Linked DNA regions of Xenopus tropicalis. The protein of the gene in region 6 interacts with the protein of the main gene of each other region in a pairwise test. Links are inferred from orthologs where the notes say so. Each region holds a gene or a part of one and is shown on either strand. Other genes may lie near its edges. The genes, in order: tbc1d22b, gpank1, klhl42, gpkow, phf1 and trim23.

Evidence for each region.
Region 1: the proteins of trim23 (region 6) and tbc1d22b interact in binary tests that used the Homo sapiens proteins (3 or more experiments, as listed by UniProt). The link is inferred for Xenopus tropicalis from reciprocal best matches to the Homo sapiens genes TRIM23 and TBC1D22B.
Region 2: the proteins of trim23 (region 6) and gpank1 interact in binary tests that used the Homo sapiens proteins (3 or more experiments, as listed by UniProt). The link is inferred for Xenopus tropicalis from reciprocal best matches to the Homo sapiens genes TRIM23 and GPANK1.
Region 3: the proteins of trim23 (region 6) and klhl42 interact in binary tests that used the Homo sapiens proteins (3 or more experiments, as listed by UniProt). The two-hybrid records come from large-scale screens. The link is inferred for Xenopus tropicalis from reciprocal best matches to the Homo sapiens genes TRIM23 and KLHL42.
Region 4: the proteins of trim23 (region 6) and gpkow interact in binary tests that used the Homo sapiens proteins (3 or more experiments, as listed by UniProt). The two-hybrid records come from large-scale screens. The link is inferred for Xenopus tropicalis from reciprocal best matches to the Homo sapiens genes TRIM23 and GPKOW.
Region 5: the proteins of trim23 (region 6) and phf1 interact in binary tests that used the Homo sapiens proteins (3 or more experiments, as listed by UniProt). The two-hybrid records come from large-scale screens. The link is inferred for Xenopus tropicalis from reciprocal best matches to the Homo sapiens genes TRIM23 and PHF1.

What each region holds. Positions count from the first base shown.
Region 1 is NC_030678.2:65,104,593-65,107,526, forward strand, and holds the end of tbc1d22b (TBC1 domain family member 22B), read right to left. Parts: intron 2,716-2,934; coding exon 2,587-2,715; 3' UTR 505-2,586; downstream 1-504. UniProt on the Homo sapiens protein: May act as a GTPase-activating protein for Rab family protein(s).
Region 2 is NC_030684.2:74,607,846-74,612,059, reverse strand, and holds the start of gpank1 (G patch domain and ankyrin repeat-containing protein 1), read left to right. Parts: upstream 1-1,413; 5' UTR 1,414-1,487; exon of another isoform or gene 1,488-1,497; intron 1,498-4,095; 5' UTR 4,096-4,101; coding exon 4,102-4,214.
Region 3 is NC_030679.2:10,512,298-10,516,414, reverse strand, and holds the start of klhl42 (kelch-like protein 42), read right to left. Parts: upstream 2,805-4,117; 5' UTR 2,319-2,804; exon of another isoform or gene 2,293-2,318; intron 2,274-2,292; 5' UTR 2,023-2,273; exon of another isoform or gene 1,843-2,022; 5' UTR 1,503-1,842; coding exon 673-1,502; intron 1-672. UniProt on the Homo sapiens protein: Substrate-specific adapter of a BCR (BTB-CUL3-RBX1) E3 ubiquitin-protein ligase complex required for mitotic progression and cytokinesis. The BCR(KLHL42) E3 ubiquitin ligase complex mediates the ubiquitination and subsequent degradation of KATNA1.
Region 4 is NC_030684.2:23,998,476-24,001,979, reverse strand, and holds part of gpkow (G-patch domain and KOW motifs-containing protein), read right to left. Parts: intron 3,453-3,504; coding exon 3,295-3,452; intron 3,212-3,294; coding exon 3,081-3,211; intron 2,549-3,080; coding exon 2,442-2,548; intron 1,643-2,441; coding exon 1,441-1,642; intron 1,179-1,440; coding exon 1,046-1,178; coding exon of another isoform or gene 1,002-1,045; exon of another isoform or gene 478-1,001; intron 1-477. UniProt on the Homo sapiens protein: RNA-binding protein involved in pre-mRNA splicing. As a component of the minor spliceosome, involved in the splicing of U12-type introns in pre-mRNAs.
Region 5 is NC_030684.2:71,991,533-71,995,036, forward strand, and holds part of phf1 (PHD finger protein 1), read right to left. Parts: intron 2,509-3,504; 5' UTR 2,492-2,508; coding exon 2,318-2,491; intron 148-2,317; coding exon 66-147; intron 1-65. UniProt on the Homo sapiens protein: Polycomb group (PcG) that specifically binds histone H3 trimethylated at 'Lys-36' (H3K36me3) and recruits the PRC2 complex. Involved in DNA damage response and is recruited at double-strand breaks (DSBs).
Region 6 is NC_030677.2:187,787,001-187,791,118, reverse strand, and holds the start of trim23 (E3 ubiquitin-protein ligase TRIM23), read right to left. Parts: upstream 2,801-4,118; 5' UTR 2,335-2,800; coding exon 2,245-2,334; intron 817-2,244; coding exon 654-816; intron 54-653; coding exon 1-53. Other genes in the region: trappc13 (trafficking protein particle complex subunit 13), read left to right, coding at 2,889-2,934.

The DNA.
Region 1 (2,934 bases), on a different chromosome or scaffold from region 6:
GTATCCCTCGTTTTCTGTTTGTGTGAACTCTTCCTTTTTCTGTATTAAAAAACCATTTAAGTGTTTATCATAGTGACCTGAACCACTGGCTGAACTAGATGGCACCACGCACACACAAAAAATCTTCGGAAGGGCCCAGTGCGCACAGCAACTCCTACCTGTTCCCTTTCCTCTCTTGGGGGTGCACAACTTTTGAGATAGGGGCACCTAGAGAAGGGGAATTTCTATACGGCAGACCTCACAGTCCAGGGCCCCCTGTCCCCTTTTGCAGCCAAGGGGTTTCTCTATAGTAATGCCAGTGCCTTGAACCATGCAATCCTTTAACTTACTTTTGAAGTTACTAAAAGGTATTCACACAGATTCTCTATCATAAAAAAAAAAAAAAAAAACACACACAAGATTTTGAAAATTAAAGTGTTGGATTAAGAAAAAAACAAAATAATTTGCCATATAATGGATTTACAACAGAACAAAATACAAAATCTTTTACAGGACTCATTTAAAAAAATATATCATGGATTCATTCTTTAATGTCAAAATCAATAGCAGGTTCATTACAAAAAGAAATTGTATTTAAATAATCACGGCTTTTCCACCTTTAATTTATTTCATGCAATAAAGATACTTAAGTCTAATTTTCCCAGTAAGAGCCATTACACACTGGCATTTGAAGGTATGTCAAATGAAATGCATACTAAGCGATGCAAGAGAAAATATTATACACTTTCTCCCCACTATGTTTTAGGAAGTGTAGTAAAAATGGGTGCTTTATGCATATTTCGTGGGACTTCCCTAAATTTAGCAGCTCGTATAACAAATGTTGCAGGCTTATCACTGAGGAAAAGCCTAACATAAAAAGTATAGCACACATCTTTTCTGTTGCTAAACAATTCATAGCAAAAGCTTGGAAATCAGGTACCCAAGTTATACAAATGGTGAAAGCTAAATTAGACAATCTTCAAATATATCAAAAGACCTACAAATTAACAAAATTTAAAACATCTAGATGAATGTTAAACCCTATTTTAGTACCGTCTTCAACATGGTTACCTTTCTTTTCTGTTAACCTTTTGCTATCCACTACCCCCCAAGTCAATACTGTATGAAATGTTTGATATAGATAAAAGTTAGCACTCCTCAAGTTTTGCTTTGTTGTTTTTTTTCATTGTTCGGGATGATTATACTGTACATTGCTGCTTTCACGATATCTTTGCATGCTGGAATAAACACCAGCAATAGCAGTAACTTAACAAGGTAATTTAGAAATATTTAATGCAAGTGTTTTTTCTTGGAGTTCATCATGCATGCTTCTATTTTAATGTATTTTAAACTCGCTACAAATGCATAAAATTGCAGAATGTTGTTTTAAAAACACAGATGAAGACACCTGTACTAAAAAAACATATATATGAAGGCCTGTGGGTACAACCAGGCAGAAAAAAACCCATAGTGTAAGGGCTCTAAGGCATAACCTTAAAATGCCTTAAATTGTATAGTAAATGGAAATATAGGCTAATCAATAAAATGCCGAATCAAACCACCATGTGGCACGCACTTAATCAGACACCAGGGCAGCGGTGAAGGTTAAACAGCTTTATTCATAAATACATCCTAGGATGTATTTATGAATAAAGCTGTATAGCCTTCACCGCTGCCCTGGTGTGCTGCGGGTCTGGGGCACTGCACCCAGACCACCGATAAGGAGCAGTGAGTGACCTGACTCTTTTGAAGATTTTTTTTAAAGGTTTTCTGAGTTGTGTGGCTAATTGAACGGAGTAAACCCGAACCCTCAAATTAATTATATATATATATATATATATATATATATATATAGGTTGGAAGCCTCCTTTTGGTATAGTAGTGTGTTCATTAATCAATTAAATGCCACATTTAAATTATTAATAAAGCAATGAAGTGTTTATATTTGGAGTACTTTTCTGTCACTTTTTCTTTTTACAGATAACCTTATAACAGGAACATTTTTGATATTTCACGTGGTATAAGCAGGCAAGTAGCCTGGATGGAAAGGGTAGAAAAAGAAACATTTCAACAAATGATAAGCTGAAATTCTTTTATTAAAGATGAACAAAGCCTTTGATTATTTAAAAATATGAACTAGACTGCAACCTGTTGTTGAACAGGTAAGCACATGCTTAAGAGGATAAACTGAACCACATTTTACACACAATAAATCCCAATATTGTACACCTTTGTCCATATACATATAAAGACCGATTTATATACACATACTTACTCTAGGACTTATACCGTGCCAAGGATAATGCAAAGTGATGTCTTTTTAAATACATGGCAAAATCTGCATGTAGAACAGTACCATCTGCGCACTGCACAGCAGATATGCGAATTTGCCGAACAATGATGAGTTTATGCAGTGTTACATACTATTAACCCTGAATTTTTTACAGATGTGGTTTATAGTGTGTTTATGCAGTATGATGGTGACTGGATTGCTAAGTACGTATGTGCTGATTAGCATCTAGGAGTGACTGGCACGTGGATCTATCAAAATTTAAAGAAAAAGAGTGCTTTTTTTTTTTGGAGTATAAGGGCACAGTGATTTGGCATCTACCGACGGTAATGGTTGGGAGCATCAGCAAACATGTATTTTAATCTGTATGCTTCTGCAAGGAGGAGTCCAATTTCTTCATTTCCCCAGTGGATAGTTGGCAAATTCTGCAGCAACATAAGCAGACCCTGAAAATAAATAATAATATTGGATAAACTGTTTGCAAAGCAATCAAATTAACACACAAAATAAAAAAATGTTGGAAATGTCAGAGTGATATGCCGAACTTTGAACAGAGAAGTCGGCTTTTCACTCTACTGCGCATGCGTTTGTCCGGGACAATTGGCTGCAGTGCGAGTAGGAAGGGGAAGCACTCTCGACAGGTACCCCAGGCTGGTGCTGTTTTC
Region 2 (4,214 bases), on a different chromosome or scaffold from region 6:
GGCTGCTTCTAAAGACTTCAGGTGCAACTTCCATGCTGTTTAATAGTGGGGTAAGAAAAAGATTCCAGTGCAAATAACTGACATCAGGTGACTGGGCCATTACTGCACGAATTGGCGTAAAAAATTCCAGATGAGCTGACATTTCTTTTGTTCGTGTATATAGCCCCAAGCCCCTATAGTTTTCATGCAACATCTTTCATACAGTACCAGCACTTTTCCTTTCCCTACAACTTTGCATTCACCATCTTGGATTGCCACCACCAGTGTGACGCCTGTGTAGGTTTAATGCATGAACAGTGCAATTCCTCTGGGAACCATTTACACAATGTACATACTGTATAAACCTACTCCCTGCATAGCAAGGTGACACAGCTTGTATTTACTAACTTCATCCTAGAAAAAAACAACATATAATGTGAATAAGTTGCAGTTTAAATGTCTGCAAATACCTGTCTCTCCTACTTTTATGAATTGGATTCAGCCTTTTACGTGGACAAATATTTACAGGTACAGCGAAGGCTTTCTTGGAACCCATTTCCCTAAAACAACACATATATTGTGGCATAAAGATCCTGGCCATGGTAGGTGCCACAGTAGCTCAATGCCAGTAGTGTAATTACAGGCAACCAAGGACATTTGGAGCTTACATTGCTTTAAATGCTTTAAAGTGCACTTTAACATTTTTCACAATTCTCTTTTCATAAATTTAGTGAAAACATAATCGGTGCTGACATTTTCTCTGGTCCTGCATGCACAACCTTTCCTCCAGCTAGCTGTACAGTTGTCTGGGGCAGAGTAATATATCTGCCATTTAAAGAACAAAAATAAATAGTGCTTAGTGCTTTTTCCCTGCTCTAACATGTATTGGGAGGGCTCTGACGATGTCGGACTGCTTACTGCGCAGTTTCAGCCCTTCTAGCTGGGTGCATGGGCACCTAAACACAAAAGACAAGACATTTAAACGTGCATGTGAAATCTGTCTGCATTCGGCTGCTGTAGACCACCAATAACGTGTTATTACTTTGCTCCCTGGCACAAGAGATAGAACTATTTCCGATCAAACATTGATAACGAAGGCTCTGCTTGCAGAAGACACTGCAGGTAATTACAACAATATTAAAAAATGTTTTTATTTTTGTGTTTCTTGACAAAAGCAGGCGGGGCGTGCAGCTAAAACAAACTGTGAGCAGATATATGGCTGCCCTGGCATACATAACCGCGCGTTACTAGCTGCTGAGGCAGCGTACCAGCAACGTGCTCTACTGTAACACAGAACCACTGAACGTTGTTTAGCACAAGTGACGCTTACGCACTGACGCTCCCATACGCTCCAGTTGTGGCGTCACAGTCTCATCTCGCGAGAGTGTGAGGTATCTCTGGGAGAGCAGGTTTGCCGGAACCGAGGAGCTGGATATTTGAATGGCGTTGTGGGACATTTAGCAGCCATTTAGAAGTGCGTCCTGTGTTAAGAAAAGTGGGCTACGTCGGTATGTGAGTGTATGTTTCCCTTCAGCATTCTTATACCCAGGAAGATTTCTGTATTTTTACAACAGGCCATGGGCAATAAGAATTACTTTCTCTCTAGCTGAAGAGTATTTTAGATGAATATATCAATTGCACTGAATAAAACCATATTAGTTTTGTTAAGAAAACTGCAGTTTAATTTCATTTCTAACGTAACCTTCAGAGGGAGGACACAGTCCTATCTAGTAGGTAAAGCTGGCCGTACATTGAAAGATCCACTCGTTTAGTAAGGTTGCTAAATGAGTGGATCTTTGATATTGTCCACCTTGAGGTTGATCACAGCAAGCCAATGTGGTCAGCAGCAACGAGCCAATGCAGTCATTAACCAGATGAGATTTTTAAACTTGTCCAATCAATATCTGACCAAAAATCAGGTCAGCCTGTTGGCGGGCCCCATAGACTGGTACATAAGTTGCGGCTCAGACTGAAGAAGCTGAATCAGCTAAAATCTGCTCCATATGGCCACCTTTATTAAAATGGTGTGCTACGACATGAGGGCTTGTCCGCAGTATGACGTCTAACAAGCTGCTCTTACACAGGCTTATAATGATGTATGTATATCTTTATTTATAAAGCGCTACTTATGTACGCAGCGCTGTTCAGTAGAATACATTAATACAAACAGGGTGTTAATAAGATAATAATAGATAAATACAAAGTAAAACAATAAATACAGATAAATACAGCTGCAATAAGTTAAGAGTCGAGGACACAAGAGGAAGGAGGTCCCTGCCCCGTAGAGCTTACAATCTATATGGTAGGGTAACTTACAGACACAAATAGGCAAATATAAGTGCTGTAGGTCACTTATAATATATGAGGCACCATACATAGTATAACCAACTTTCTGTTGTTCCACACATTCAGCCCTAAAGCTAATATCACGCTAGGCTGTTTCTCTGCCTGTGCAGAAACACCCAGTCGGAGTGGTTATGATCGGAAATAACTTTCATGCTGTACATCCAATAACTCTTGTTCTCAAGGATAATTAAGAAAGATCCAAATGAGGACAGAAATGTTGGGCATAGGGTTGTAAAGAAATACATTCACACAGGTTTATTTACACATAAGAGAGTGCTGGTCCAGTTATTTCTTTTGTCAGTCAGAAACAAGGTTTAGTACGATATTCAGTGCATGTAAGTTGGGTTTGATGAGGTAAACGATTTTGGCAAAAGCCTTGGATATTGGTCTTCTTGTCAGTGGGCAAGGATAGGAAATTCTGATTGGATGCCTTTGAAGGTAGGTTAATTCTGAATTGTCAGATAGGGATAGATAGTGAATAAAGTACCCCCTATTGTAAAATATAGGGGTATTATATGTCACCAAAGAGTTCCATGACAATATAAAAGCACAAGGTCAAAGCCGAGTGCTTTTATACAGGTCATGGAACGCTGAGGTGACTTCTAATATCCTCATATTTTACAAGAGGGGGTACTGTATTATAATATACAAGTTTTAGTGAGTCATGTGCCAGAAATTACATCACTTAGCTCTGATTATAACTGATGACATCACTAAGCACCATTTATATGGATATAATTTACAGTTTGGTCCCATAGGGAACTGACCAAACTGTATATTATAATTCTATTGTTTCTACCTGCATATCTGACAATTCAGCTCTTAATGTTAGTGGAGTGGACTAACGATCTTTCCAGCAACCACTGGTAGCAGGAAAGATTGTTATTGTAACGTGTATGGCCACCTTAAGTCACAGTTTATTTAAAGGAGAAGGAAAGGCTAAAAAAAGCTGCAGGCATACCTTCAGTTCTCTCAATAGTGCCCTTAAGTCTTCCCATATTTCTCCTGTTCAGATGATCAGAAGCTTCATAGGGAAAAAAAAAAATTCTGAGCTCTGTAAACAAAATTCCCATAATGCCTCGCTCCTGCACCAAGACCAGCGTACATGCTCAGTGTGTAAGACTATGAGGAAGCTTCCTGCTGATTGTCTCAGATCACACATTCTTGTGGGTGGGGGGAGCAGGAGAGAGCTGCGTGTCTCTAGCACAGGAAAACAAAGAGACAACAAATCCTGTTTCTTTTGACAGAGAACTCAGTGCAGATGTTTCTGTGAGTGCTTATGGCTGTATTTACATAGACCTTTCTGATAAAGCTTACTTAGTTTTTACCTTTCCTTCTCCTTTAAAGACACATCTTAAATTTTCTCTTTTAATAGCAATACCTTATGCAAGTCAGCAAAGTTACTTTTTATTGTGAAAATCGAACTAAGAATGGGTAGTTTTAATCTGATTCTTACTTGTGTGTGCCTTGTCCCTCAAACCCAAATGCCCTATATGCAGCCCTTAAGTTTTCATTGTGTTGCATGTTTGAGCATTCAAGGTTGCAGGTTGATAAACTCCGATATTAATGAATTCTGTTGTGCTGCAAATGTTATGCAGCGTTTTAACATAAGGTATGCTAGAAGCATATAGTAAAGTATTACAAAATGATCATGGGCTGTCTTTTAAGTGATCTAATTTAATTATATTAATTTAATTAGGCCTTCAGAAATCACATAAAAATTGTTACATTTAATATATTTTAACATATTTATATATTCTTCTTTGGCAGAAAAAAATGAATCATCTTCAGCTTATTACTTTTACAAAAGCCCGGGACAAATCGGATTTTTGGGAGAATGGAGAGTGCAGTAATAAAAAAGATCTCAATGCATCCAATAAAAATATAAC
Region 3 (4,117 bases), on a different chromosome or scaffold from region 6:
AGCATGAACAGCCCCCTAAGTTTGCTCATAGCCTGTACAGAGAGATACCATAAAACTATGGCACATAGGGATTCCCCTGTACTAAGCACAATTCAGCACCTTGCTATTTCCCTTGCATGTCAGTTTGACAGGATGATGGGAGTTGTAGTTCAATAACAAGGGGAATTAATATGGTTCCTATAGATGATAAAATAGAAGGTGTGCTTAGATTCTCAATACAGGACTCAGGATATAAATTTATTTTATTATATGAGTTCATCCAAGTTTAGAACTTGGAGTGGAACCTTGCACCTGGTATGTAAAGGGGAAGTAAACCACAAAATATTTTATTTTGTGCACAGAAATCGAAGGCCTGCGGTAGCTTCACAGGTGAAAAACACCAGCAGTCAAAATGCCCTGGTCCACTAGTCACCACAGCTAATGCTACTCAAACACAAGCAGTATATTTCCCCCTAGCAATCAGGAAGCGGTGTGAATGACAGATTTGAAGATAACCTGTAAAATAAGACTTTAAACTAGTTAGGGGTTGCTAGGGTCACTGACCAAGCAACCAGGCAATTGTCTGAATAAAAGACTGGCATCCTGGGCTCCTCAGTGGCCATAGCTTCATAGGACAGAACCAGAACAGAAAAGCAAAGTGACTAAGGAAAACAATATTCCCCACCTGATTACCTCTTTTGGTTCATGGAGGGCTCCTGGGTCCAGCACCCGTTGCTCGGGTTGTACGAGTGCACGGCACTGATCTCTTGCCCATTGTCCCTCCTACCTCCAGCCACAAACAGGTAGTTATGGAGTGTGGTAGCCCCATAGCCTTGCACCCTCAGCATACTCTGTGGGACCTCTCCGGTCATGACTTGCCAACCGCCTCCCCCTTCCAGGTACCTTAGTAGCACCCAGTTGTCAGGGCCCTGTTGGGACAGGACCATAAGGGCTGGGGTTCCTCTCAGCCTCTCTTCCAGGACACGAGTTCTGAGGGACCTTGGGCTCTGCTGGAAGTCTTCCCTCCTCAACATAGAAAGGTAATGAGCAGCCATGAAATGTAGAGCTGCCGAAGCCAAATCCCACTGGCCATGCAACTGCGCCACCTCCAGGATATCCAGACACGTGTCCAGGGACATGGAGGACTGCAGGAGAGACAGAAGACCTTGGACCTGTAGGTAGGATGCGGCTTCCACCACAGCCTGTAAAGGGCCCGATGACTCCAGGCCGCATGTTGATTCATCCTCCAGTGAGCAACGTTCTGGATCTTCCAAGGAAACAACCTGGAAACCAAACTCGGAACCCCCCTGAGCTTCTAGAAGGGAACCCCCAGTGATGTGGCGGAGAACCCCTTCCAGGCCCTCAGGGGTCAGCCCATGCAGAGTCACTGGTTCCCCATGACTTTCCCTCATGCCCGACCGGAACAGTGACTGGAAGAAACCACTCTGAGCCACCAGCTGTTCCCTAGGTACAGAGTAACACCTAGAACCCAACAGTATCTGAACTGTTTCTACAGAGGACATCACTTATACATGCATGATGCCTTCAAGAACCCAGAAATGGAACCAGAAAAGGGATCTACCAACATAAAAACATCACACTATTTGTGCACCGCATAGCTACAAGAACCTTGGGCACCTAATCAGGGCATCAAACTCTCATATCTGCAAGAACCTTGGGCACCTAATCAGGGCATCAAACACCCATACCTACAAGAACCTTGGGCACCTAATCAGGGCATCAAACCCTCATATCTACAAGAACCTTGGGCACCTAATCAGGGCATCAAGCACCCATATCTACAAGATCCTTGGGCACCTAATCAGGGCATCAAACTCTCATATCTACAAGAACCTTGGGCACCTAATCAGGGCATCAAGCACCCATATCTACAAGATCCTTGGGCACCTAATCAGGGCATCAAACCCTTGTTTCTACAAGAACCTTGGGCACCTAATCAGGGCATCAAACACCCATACCTACAAGATCCTTGGGCACCTAATCAGGGCATCAAACACCCATACCTACAAGAACCTTGGGCACCTAATCAGGGCATCAAACCCTTGTTTCTACAAGAACCTTGGGCACCTAATCAGGGCATCAAACTCTCATATCTACAAGAACCTTGGGCACCTAATCAGGGCATCAAACACCCATACCTACAAGAACCTTGGGCACCTAATCAGGGCATCAAACACCCATACCTACAAGAACCTTGGGCACCCAATCAGGGCATCAAACACCCATACCTACAAGAACCTTGGGCACCCAATCAGGGCATCAAACACCCATACCTACAAGAACTTTGGGCACCTAATCAGGGCATCAAACACCCATACCTACAAGAACCTTGGGCACCAAGCACCCACTCTGGGCATAAGAATATCAGGCAGAGAACCAATAAAGGAAATGCCCAATGTTCCTTACACCCCCCACCCATGACAATTAAGGAATCTCTTGGAAAAATACTCCAAAAATAACAGCCCAGAAGCAACACCCTCCAATCAGGAACAGTTGCCCAACTAGAGAATGGACCTGGATTCCCCACCCATCAGCCGGTCCCGTTTCAGCTCAGCAAACTGAGTAACAAGAAAGTCCAGAAAGAGAGAGAATCCCATCTGTGCAGCTTGTCCATTCAGCTCATTGTGCCAGCAGCTCTAGCCCCATTGGCTGCCCCCACTTGCCCCCCTTGCCCAGTCTTTCCGTTTACCCAACATGGAGAGAACGCCCCAATACAAACTGACCATCCAGGCATTTCACTTCCTGAATGTGCAGAAGCTTGTAAAAAACCCAGTCCCCTCCACCTGCGTGCCAGGGACCACGCCCACTTATACGCAAACACGTACTTGACACGCCTCCTGCCCCTCTTATAACCACAAGCCGCGCAAAGACACGCCCCCATTGCCAGACGCACCTCCTCATGGAAGCGTCTGCTTCATAGACAGGCCCCTCCCCTTCCCATATTGTGTTTTCCCCCCCATGCCCCATAAACACTGGCCTTATATGTGCAGCTGGGATTCTCTATGGGAGGGCTATATCCCTGCCAGACGCCATCCCCATGGGAACAGGCAACCCTAGCAGATATTACATAGTAGTTGGAGTTCAGCCTTTATCGCCCAACTGAGAGACTTTAGCTGTAAAAGCCGTAAAGAGATACTGACACCAGAAATTAAACCCTTTATTGCAACTGTCATGACACTGTTTGTACATTTATTTATTTGCCCATAGAAGTGTTTGCCCAATGCATTTATATTACCTATCTGGTCTCCATGTCCCTCTATGAGGCGGCGGCGGCCATATTTGTGCAGCCATTATTGGTTAGCATTAGGAGCTATAACTGACCGGCTGGGAGGGGACACTCAGGTTTAGGAACGTCAAATAGAAATGACTTACATTAACAGCCCTCCCTACCTGGGAGGATGTTGAGGAGAATGCTGGGAAGGAAGCTGGAGGATGCTGGGGGGGAACTGGAGGATGCTGGGGGGAGCTGGAGGATGCTGGGGGGGAACTGGAGGATGCTGGGGGGAGCTGGAGGATGCTGGGAGGGAACTGGAGGATGCTGGGGGGAGCTGGAGGATGCTGGGGGGGAGCTGGAGGATGCTGGGGGGAGCTGCAGGATGCTGGGGGGGGAACTGGAGGATGCTGGGGGGAGCTGCAGGATGCTGGGGAGTGGAGCTGGAGGATGCTGGGGGGGAACTGGAGAATGCTGGGGGGGAGCTGGAGGATGCTGGGGGGGAGCTGGAGGATGCTGGGGGGGAGCTGGAGGATGCTGGGGGGGGAGCTGCAGGATGCTGGGGAGTGGAGCTGGAGGATGCTGGGGGGAGCTGAAGGATGCTGGGGGGGAGCTGGAGGATGCTGGGGGGAGCTGCAGGATGCTGGGGAGTGGAGCTGGAGGATGCTGGGGGGAGCTGGAGGATGCTGGGGGGAGCTGGAGGATGCTGAGGGGAGCTGCAGGATGCTGGGGAGTGGAGCTGGAGGATGCTGGGGGGGAGCTGGAGGATGCTGGGGGGAGCTGCAGGATGCTGGGGAGTGGAGCTGGAGGATGCTGGGTGGGATGCAGAGGGGAACTGGAGGATGCTGGGGGGAGCTGGAGGATGCTGGGGTGGGGAGCTGAAGGATGCTGGGGTGGGGAGCTGCA
Region 4 (3,504 bases), on a different chromosome or scaffold from region 6:
CCTCTGTCACTGAGCTAAAGCTCCTGTATCCTCCCTAAACATTCAGTAATAAGGTGAAAGTTGGGGGGGCTGCAGCTTTGAAATCAGTGGGTACTATAATGCAGCCACGTATGCAAGCTAGGTGATACAGCCATCAGCCATAGCCAGCCCGGCTGATCATGAGTCTGCACAAACACTGATAAGCCACACTTTTTTTTTTCTTTGCCAATTAAAACTACACAACTCTTGTGAAAATTATATACAGTACTGTAAATATGTATTTTAATAACTAAACAATCAGCTCCTTTTTGCAGGAAAACAATCTTTGAATTGTTGGGCATGCTTTATCGCAGCATAAAATAATGATCTTATTAGCAGGAGGGTGAGACTAACAAATACAAGGAAACCATACAAAGACGAGCAAAGGCATGAAAAATGCAAAAAAAAACTGCATTTTTGTAAAATTCTCAATAAAGTGATGAAATTTTAGGTCTTAGGTCACAAGGGGGAATGTATATCTTTATTTATAATGGAATGGAATGGCACTTATTGGTGGTACTTAGTCACTTCCCACAGTAATTAATATGTGAAGAGTTAATTTTGATTGCTCTCTATAATAGTGGCATTTACTAATACATACTCTTTGTTTTCAATACAATAAAAGCAGTTTAAAAAAACAAAAACACTTAAGAGTAACCAATATGACTGCTCTGATTCAATTCACTTAGTTTCCACTATGTGACACTAGCATGCATATTGCCATAGGAGGTAGTGTACTTCAGGAGGTGCAAACAAAATGACTGCCTCCAACATAACATACAAGACCACATGCAATATCAATGTTTACATCTTGATTGAAGATTATAACACTAAATAATCAATGCATGGGATGCCTAGAAATAATCTGCATTCATATAGCGGTATAAAGGTAAAGGCACGTGCATAGTAACATCCCTCAATTTAACTTTCAAATAATATAACTATAACATCTGAATAATGTACACACACCCAATGACAGATTATTACTTGGAAATTGTACAGCATACTTTGTTGCAGTTACACTCACTCAGATCCTTTGCAAACTTTGTATATTCTGCGCTGCTGACCAATCGCAAGGAAAACAGAGACACTGTAACCACCTTTCCACCAATGGCAAGCTTGATCATTGCCCTGGAATTGTCTGGGTCAACGCCCTCTACCTGAGAACAATGATAAAGACATCAGTAACTAAACAGGAAACATACTAAACTAGGAAAACTGATGACGTGGCTGGGTTTACCACTGCTACATGTTATACCCTGGATTAGGATGTGTAGGTTGGGCCAAACCCCATGGGACCAGCGATAAGCTGAGACAGGTTCATGAGGAGTGTTTCTTGGTTGGGTTAAAAATTTTTCAACCTGCACATCACTACCCTGGATTGTAAGGACAGCATATATGACAAAATAAATTCAGACTTACCTTCCCATACAGGTCTTTGTGAGCTCCACTCTGTATCTGTACTGAACTCCCTTTGCCAAGACCTCTTGACTCTTCTTCCAGTTTCTCCCCAGGTTTTAATGGTTTCCGCGGTTTCTGTGGCTCCAGATCCTTTAGAGCAGACCGATCTGCACCGAGTCCCAGCCCTTTAGGGCGCAATTTCTGCTCTAATGGCTTTACATCCCTGGGGGCACACAATTGGCAATACTATTTTATGTCTTTATTATTAAGCATTTATGTAACGTCCACATTCTCAAATGTAAAGATATGGGAAAGCATTCACTTATATGGGTGGACTACTTCTAATGCCTTGAATATATCACAATTAGAATACCAAACACATATGAACATTTATTGGGTGCAAAAAGCAAAAAAATATAAATACAAATGCATACCAAATCAAATGGCAGAGGTGTCTTAGGGAGATTTTTTTTTTTAAATGTGAGATTAGAGCTCACCACAGGGAAAATATAATCCTAATTTCAGACTGTACATACATGCTAATTATCTGCTTTTATCCAAGGAAAAGCTAGCATGATCCTCTTCATTTACCATAAAACACGATTGTATTTTTCCTTAAACATGTTTCTTAGATGGAAGTGCAGGAAGGAACCGACTTATAGATGAGTGTACTGTTTATCCACCATGCATTTTCCCCTTGATAACTGTGCGTCATTCCTTTTCCATCCACTCCTTCCCTTGCCTGTTCTTGCATCGTAGCTTCCCTCATCTCACTCTAAGCACCCTATGTACATTCTTATTCTGCCAGTGAGCCTTCCGTGAATTCTGGCGTTATTAATCAGAGGGCAGTTAGCTATACTGTCACAACTGAAAGGTTCCTTAGCAAGTCTCGGCTCAGAGATATACTAGACAGCAGTGAGTGAGCTGATGATCCTATAACTAAACACAAACTATATAAACCTGTAAATACAAGAAGTACACTGGTCTCACAAACTGTTCTGTCACTGGTCTATAGTACTTACTGCTTAAATGTGCGTCCAATGCCCTCTCCTTCCTTCCATCCCATTCCTCTCAGCATCGCCATCCCATAATACTCCACAGGCACTGCATCATAGTCTGCAGCCTCCGCCTGAAATACAAATGCAGACACAAGACAGGAGAAGAGAACTATATTACATCTGGTTTACATGTGAGATTTCAAGTGTAATATATATTAAAAGCCTTGGAACATTTTACATATGTAACATTATGGAAGGAATTAATGGGGCTTTGTTCCATCCTGTCTAAAAGGACCCTATAGCATCCTTAGGTGATGGAGTCAATAAAAAGACTTATCCTGCATACTAATATGAGCACTATCAAATAAGAAATTTTTAAAAGTTACATAATAACAAACTGGAAGAGTAAAAGACTGGAATAGCAGAAGGTGTGAGCAGAAAGATAAGTAATAAAAAGTAACAACAACAACAATAATAATAATAATAATAATAAAACTGTAGCCTCACAGAGCTGCCGGGTGGTGACCCCCTAACAACCAGGTAGCAAGCTATATTGCAAGCTGTAAATTGGCAGAAAAACACACTAAAATTTACCTATATGCTAAACTACCCCTTTAAATGGTGAATATAGCCAGTGTTATCACGAATGATAATAATACTCACAGAATCTGGGCGTAAGCTAACATCCACCTTCTCTCCATCTTCGTAACCATCAGGAATTCTGTTCTGCATAAGCAGTGGGATGCTCAAAGTTTGATCTGTCTCTGAATTATCCTCTAGGGTGCGCCGGGATTCTAAAAAGAAACAGAAAAGTGTAAGATAAAATGGAGAAGAAATGAGTTACAGGGTTGCAATAGAAACAAAACTAGCCATTTACCCTCTATCAACTCTTTTACAGCCTGTGACAGCACGGCCTCTTCTTCTGTTCCTGGAACTGCATCTTCCTCATTGTCCTTTTTCTTGTTCGGCTTGGACCACCTATTTTTGTGTATGAGGGGAATAACTAGCTCCTTGGCTTCTGGAGTAGGGTTTGCGCTGTTTAGGGCAAAAATTTGATATAAATTAGATGAGAACACATGGAGGACTT
Region 5 (3,504 bases), on a different chromosome or scaffold from region 6:
ATAAGGGTAACAGGTTAAATTACATTTAAAAACTTACTCTGAATTCTATGTAGTTTCATACTTACGAGGAAAAATGTCCTTCCAAAGTACTGAAAACTGTGAATTATCTTCAAAGCGCACAAGACAAGTCTCCTGAGCACTGTCTACCTGCAGAAGAGGGATGAAAAGTTGAGAAGGCCTGCCCCCTTTGCTGCTAAAGTTGCTCTGCAGTTGCTCTACTTTACAAGTTTTCAGTTTAGTAAAAGGCCATTGCTAAAAGGAATGATGTGATATGTCTGGATATAAGAGCACATGCCATAAGAAAGGTCTGGCTAAACAGATTATGTAAACTCATAGTATAATTACTCATTCTAGCTGACTATAAATAGGCAGGAGCCATCAAGACCATCTGCTCACTCTTTCATAGCCTAGCCTAGTCCTCCTCTCTTAGCCTATCTAAAGAGTGGAGCAAGGTAGTTTAAAGAATAAAAGAAATTTCATTTAGAATCCTTCCTCAAAGTGCCTCCCCTCAGGGTGGAGTGGCCCACTGGAACAAAAAGGGGCCATTGGATACCTCCTCCCTTTCTAGTCATGTCTACTTTGCCCAAATCTAATTTTCACCTGAAAGTGGGGATTCCTAACAAATTAGAAACCCAATCCCTACATAGGGTACCCATCCCTTACTTTTGCTAATTTTCAAAAATATATGGTTTTAACTTATTTTAGGGTCTCTGACACATAAAATACTGACAGTACATTGGTTCTGCAGTAGATAAATCTGTATGCAATTGTTTAATCCATGGTGTTACAATATATACAGCAGACCCAGCTCGTGGGGGGGGCCCAGAACGTGAGATCTGCTGTACCTTAGTCCCCCCTCCCTGGCCCCTCTCCTACCTTAAATAAAGCGGCAGGGTCAGGGGTGGGTGGGGGAGGAGGGACTGGTAGTGCTAGGCCCTCTCAAAAGATTTTTCTGAATGGTGGACCAGTGTGACCAAGTTATGCCCCTGAGTTTAATTTTTGGGTGTTTACATGCTACATGTGTTAGTAATCCAAAACATATTGAAGATTAAGCTTTACAGAATACCCCTGGGATTCATAATTACAATGTTTTATTGTTTACGTAAGGATACGAGGGGAGATAAGATATTGTACAACTATGGGACCTGTTATGCAGACTGCTTGGTACCTGGGGTTTTCTATAACTTTGTTATGTACTGGTTTTAAGTTTTCCTGTATTTTCCATTGCTTTTTGTGGTCCCACCAATTTATAATGCATTTCAATGGTTGATTTTCACAAATGTTGTCCTAATGTTCCCAAAAATGGATTTGTCCTCTATGAATGTTATTATTAGTGAAATAAAGAGGTTTAAAATACGAACTGTCTGTATAGTCAATTCCAATTAGTCTGCACTTCATACAGTCATGCTCAAATCTCTTATTGCTTTAAGTTGTGCATCTGAATGCCACAGAGTTCTTGCAAATGCTGTTCTATAGTGTAACTTTAATGCTGCAATGCATGACCCTTGTCATTAACACAGTAACTATTGTATTTTAAAGTAAAACTGACTCCTGTGCTTATATCCTTTGAGTACTTGAAGAATAAGTTGCTTTAACCCATTTGTCTTGTATAAAAGCAATAACAATATTTTCTTCGATGGGGCATGGAATATTAGCAGCAGAATGTTATAATCTACATTACTGCTGTGACATCACAACTAGTGTTCTAACGCATTTTGGTCTAATGCATCTAAACATGATAACTGGTGACAAAACGAAGGGAAAGAAAGATACTGTTTCAGTAATCACATTTACTAATAAATATATATACAGGTATAGAACCTGTTATCCAGAATTCTCGGGACCAAGGGTATTCCGGATAAGGGGTCTTTCCGTAATTTGGATCTCCTTACCTTAAGTCTACTAAAAAAATCAATAAACCATTAATTAAACCCAATAAGATTGTTTTGCATCCAATAAGGATTAATTATATCTTAGTTGGGATCAATTACAAGGTACTGTTTTATTATTACTGAGAAAAAGGAAATCAGTTTTAAAATTCTGAATAATTTGATTAAAATGGAGTCTGTGGAAGATGGGTTTTCAGTAATTCGGAGCTTTCTGGATAATGGGTTTCCTGATAAGGGATCAAATACCTGTACATACTTTTTGTTTTTTTTAAATCATTGCAAAATTTGAGGTTGCTTATAATCATATTTTCTTCCTTTAGAAAACATTGGTACTTTTCTTTTGGAGTGGATTGCCCATTTATGATTATTTTATAATGGAGTTGCATAATAACCTATGTTTGAAAACATTAATAATGAAAGAAGTGCACCTTTTTAATTATCCCCAAATAAAGCAGTCCATCTGTCCACCGTGCCAAGACATCCTGACCTTCCCAAAAACGAGCCAGTGTCTGGAAGCGTGGCCGTTTCACTAGAGCAGGGGTCACTCTGGGACTGGCAGGTGTGGTACGACTGGGTCGGGTTGAGGGCTCCCGTCCCTCCATCACATTTTAAAAAAATTCTGTAAGAGTAAATGACAAGCATGAATGAATAGAGCATGAGTAATATACAGTGGTGTGAAAAACTATTTGCCCCCTTCCTGATTTCTTATTCTTTTGCATTTTTGTCACACTTAAATGTTTCTGCTCATCAAAAACCGTTAACTATTAGTCAAAGATAACATAATTGAACACAAAATGCAGTTTTTAAATGAAGGTTTACGTTATTAAGGGAGAAAAAAAACTCCAAATCTACATGGCCCTGTGTGAAAAAGTGATTGCCCCCCTTGTTAAAAAATAACTTAACTGTGGTTTATCAATTTCAATTTTCAATTTCAATATCAATTTGTGTAGTCACCCCCAGGCCTGATTACTGCCACATCTGTTTCAATCAAGAAATCACTTAAATAGGAGCTACCTGACACAGAGAAGTAGACCAAAAGCACCTCAAAAGCTACACATCATGCCAAGATCCAAAGAAATTCAGGAACAAATGAGAACAAAAGTAATTGAGATCTATCAGTCTGGTAAAGGTTATAAAGCCATTTCTAAAGCTTTGGGACTCCAGCGAACCACAGTGAGAGCCATTATCCACAAATGGCAAAAACATGGAACAGTGGTGAACCTTCCCAGGAGTGGCCGGCCGACCAAAATTACCCCAAGAGCGCAGAGACAACTCATCCGAGAGGCCACAAAAGACCCCAGGACAACATCTAAAGAACTGCAGGCCTCACTTGCCTCAATTAAGGGCAGTGTTCACGACTCCACCATAAGAAAGAGACTGGGCAAAAACGGCGCAAACCACTTTTAAGCAAAAAGAACATTAAGGCTCGTCTCAATTTTGCTAAAAAACATCTCAATGATTGCCAAGATTTTTGGGAAAATACCTTGTGGACTGACGAGACAAAAGTTGAACTTTTTGGAAGGTGCGTGTCCCGTTACATCTGGCGTAAAAGTAACACAGCATTTCAGAAAAAGAACATCATACCAACAGTAAAATATGGTGGTGGTAGTGTGAT
Region 6 (4,118 bases):
CAGGAGTTCCAGTAATGCAAAATTTTTCTTTAAGCCCCACACACCAGAGTCTCCTGTATAAGAACAAGACATTTACACATTATTTAAACAAATAATAATCTTAATTTCTTACTGTTCAGCTTCTCTGCAATTATAAGACAATGCCTAGTACTTGATGGCAATGAAGGTAGCTTATTGTATCCAAACTGGCATCAAAACAATATATATATTTTTTAAATATGTCAATGCTTATTTAACAGTCTTAAGGCATGATGATCCAAATTAAAGAAAAAAACCTAATCCCATACCAAAGGAATAATTCATTAAATAAAACAAATGGTTTTTAACATTTTGGAACAGAATAAAGGAGAGATTCTCAAAAGATGGGCTGTTCCCAGAGTTTCTAAAGCACACCCAGACTGGCAATCTGTGGATTCTGGCAAATGCCAGAGGGGCAGCTGCCTATTATAAATCCCAGTCTGGGCCTGTTTGAGAGCAGTGGGTCACCCAGTATCTATTTGTTGCAAGAGAGAGCAGCTAGTGCAGAGCAACTTGAAGCAAATGGGAAGCAATCTGCAGCAGGTAACAGCTATCAAAATCCTTGTGTTATAGAGACCTTAAATACATTACATAATACTATTGCTTAGTAAAGTAAAAAATGAATTCTTTAATACCTAGTTCAGTAGCTTGTCTGTCAAATGGACAGCGTATGGCTCTGCCATGAAGAGGCAGGCGTGTTAGACAGTCATGGCACACAGTATGGCCGCAAAGCAGCAAACGTGGAACTTTATCTCCTTGCAGTGAAAAGACATCTTCACAGACACCACATTCCAGAACCTAGTGTTGATTAAACAATTGTGGAAAGGTTACATTGTGGAGAGACATTTAAATATATCAGTCTGAAAGTTACGAGGATGCAACCATGTTGCTGGATGTATCATTTGCTTGCTAAAGATCAGGCTGGGGACCACTGCTCCTCCTGAACAGCCCAGGAAAGCTGCCTGTGGAAGTGGAAAGGCTGGGTGGTGCTAATAAGGTTTAAGATAAATTAAAGCAGCATTTTCTCTTAAAATGATACAGTGCTATGTATCCTTGCAGCAATATAAAAATAAAGTTATAAATACATACAATAGGCTTATTGCCTTTGCAGATGTGGGTATGGAATATCAATAGCTGCCATTGGGTATTATCCATATGCTTCCTACATCTAGCTGACTTTGCATGCTGGGAGTTGTAGTTCATTGGGAGTTAAAACGCATAGGAAAGTTGAAAGACAACCCTGTATAGGACATTTACACTTATCCATACAGCCAGGGCTGGAGTTAAAGGGGGGTGGGTAGCTTGCAATGCAGAAAGCCTGGAGTCTGATGAAGGGGATTAATATATGTATATATAATATATTAGGGATGTTTAACCTGCAGCCCTCCAGTTGTTGTTCTGCTAGAACTCTCAATAGCCCTACTAGCCAATGTATGGAGGTGCAGTACAACAAGAACAAAGAGCTCTAAGGCTGCCCATAGCTAATGTCAGTGGCATAACTAGAGGTGTCTGGGCCCCACAGCAAATTCATATTACCCCCCCCCCCCCCCCCTAAAGTTTAAGAGTTATTGTACATAAGTATATACTGGAATTGCTTATCACTCAGTGTCTGGGCCCCACAGCAAATTCATATTACCCCCCCCTAAAGTTTAAGAGTTATTGTACATAAGTATATACTGGAATTGCTTATCACTCAGTGTCTGGGCCCCGCAGCAAATTCATATTACCCCCCCCCCCCCTAAAGTTTAAGAGTTATTGTACATAAGTATATACTGGAATTGCTTATCACTCAGTGTCTGGGCCCCGCAGCAAATTCATATTACCCCCCCCCCCCCTAAAGTTTAAGAGTTATTGTACATAAGTATATACTGGAATTGCTTATCACTCAGTGTCTGGGCCCCGCAGCAAATTCATATTACCCCCCCCCCCCCTAAAGTTTAAGAGTTATTGTACATAAGTATATACTGGAATTGCTTATCACTCAGTGTCTGGGCCCCGCAGCTTCCTCTCTAGCACAATATAATAGGCCCTTTCTGCTTTGTTTCCCCCTAGGAGTATCCCATCTCCGAAACTGCCCTTTCCCCTAAAGCCTCCCTGCACTCTGCAACGAAATGATGTAGGAAGGAGAATGCATATAGCCAGACGCAGGGGGGCCCTCCTGCAGGGATAAACCAGGGCCCAAACTACACGGCATACACTTCTCCCGTAACCCTGCTCTAGTATCACCTTTACTGCTCCCCCCGGACCGGTCCGGCTCTGCCGTCCGCTGCCCTCCATTCTTCCAGGGCCGCCGTGTCTGTTTACAGCGACAGCCATGTTGACAGCTGGACCGTACCACTTCGGGTAGAGGGTTGAGAAATCATGTGAATCCTGGTGTTGAAAATGGCATTATTTAAGAATAAACCCTGTTTTAAAAAACAATGAATATATCTACTTAGGTTCATAACAGTAGCAATCTGAGAAGTCTAATCCGTATGACACCACCGACTGAGCAAAAGGCTTTTAAAACTATTACTAGCGAAACCGCAAAGTGGTTTCACCCAATAGCTATAACCCAACTCAGTCTCTTGCCTCAGAAAAATGGGAGCTAACGCTATAAGGCGCCATCTTAAACATTGGCAAACGTGCCCTCATATTTTTCCCCTGAAACAAAAACAAAATGATAGATAGCAGAGACGGCGATTCTGTGGTTCTGCAGCTTTTGTCGAAATAAAAGTTTTGCAGGGCTCTGTTGCAATGTGAATAATAGAACTGAGAAGCGGAAAAAGCCTCTGCGCATGCGCATTTTGTTTTACTAGAACTGGCCCTTTCGTCTTCCCGTACAGGCAGTTCCGGGTGTGTGTAGGGGTGGTGACGGCGGTTCTGGCACCATGGACGTCAATCAGCCCAAGCAGGAACATTTGTTGGCCCTGAAAGGTATCAGTGTGAGGCTGTGGTGTGTGTTCTCTGCGCCCTGACTGGGGAGTCAGCCCGGCCTGCCCCAAGCTGTAGCACAGGAGCCAGAGCTTTCCTGCACTGGCCATTCCCATAGGTGTCCTGGCCCACTCACTTCTGTTCCAGAGTACATAGACTATGCACCTAAGCAAGAGGCTGCCCTGCCTTGCCCTGTCATTTCTAGTTACTTCCATCCCTTGCCATTATGGTAGCCACATTGAGTGATCTTCTTAACCATTGATGCTACAGTAACCCCATGGCAGCGCAGTTAGTGCAAATGATTATTCTGCAAAGCAGCAGTTACTCAGATTGTCTGCCATAGCTGAGTGGCCCCCTCCTGCTTATGCTTGCGTTTGGAGCAGGTTGGGGGCCCATAGGACACAAAGAAAGTGCATGGAATTAACCAATTGGGCATGATCTCATTGGTGGGCTCCACAACGGTTACAATACATTTTTGTATGATTATCCTCAAGCAGGGGAACTAAAATACAATAATGCTGGAAATACAGAAAAACTCTGTGCTGACTAATAGACATGATAAATGATAGACATACCAACCTGTACCAACAGTGATGGGAAAGATAAACTGTAATCTCAACTAAACCAGGTTTTTATTAAGAATATATCATTAAGGAACATTTGTTCTAATTAAAAGTAAGTTAATAGCAAGGATGAGCTCATCCAGCTGACAAATATAAGGGTTCTACTATTTTTTGAGAGCAGCGTCATTCAAAAGTTACAGTAGATGTAATAAATAGCCCTGGTATCAGGTAGTAATTATTTAGGTCTTTTGGGGCTTTAAAACATTACACGGGGGCCAATTTATGCATATACGTGTAAGGGGTGCAACAAACAGCATTGTAAAGTGAACCTTGTGCAAGCAGAGCTGTGCAGCAAAACAAATTAATGGCACACACAATGCCAAATTAACTAACATTAATGGAACAGGCAGGTCAGTACAATGAAATATAATACAAAATACAGTTACATTCAGGATTAAGTGGTAGAGACGAGAGGAAAGAGATTTTCCCCATAGAATCTAGATAGGAGTTCTCTAATAATCAGACATTGATAGATGTAAAGCAAAACATTTTTTCCCATAAGTGCTTTAAGAAGATTTTTCTGATCAATTTAGTGGCTTGGAATATAAGCAATACAGTATGAAA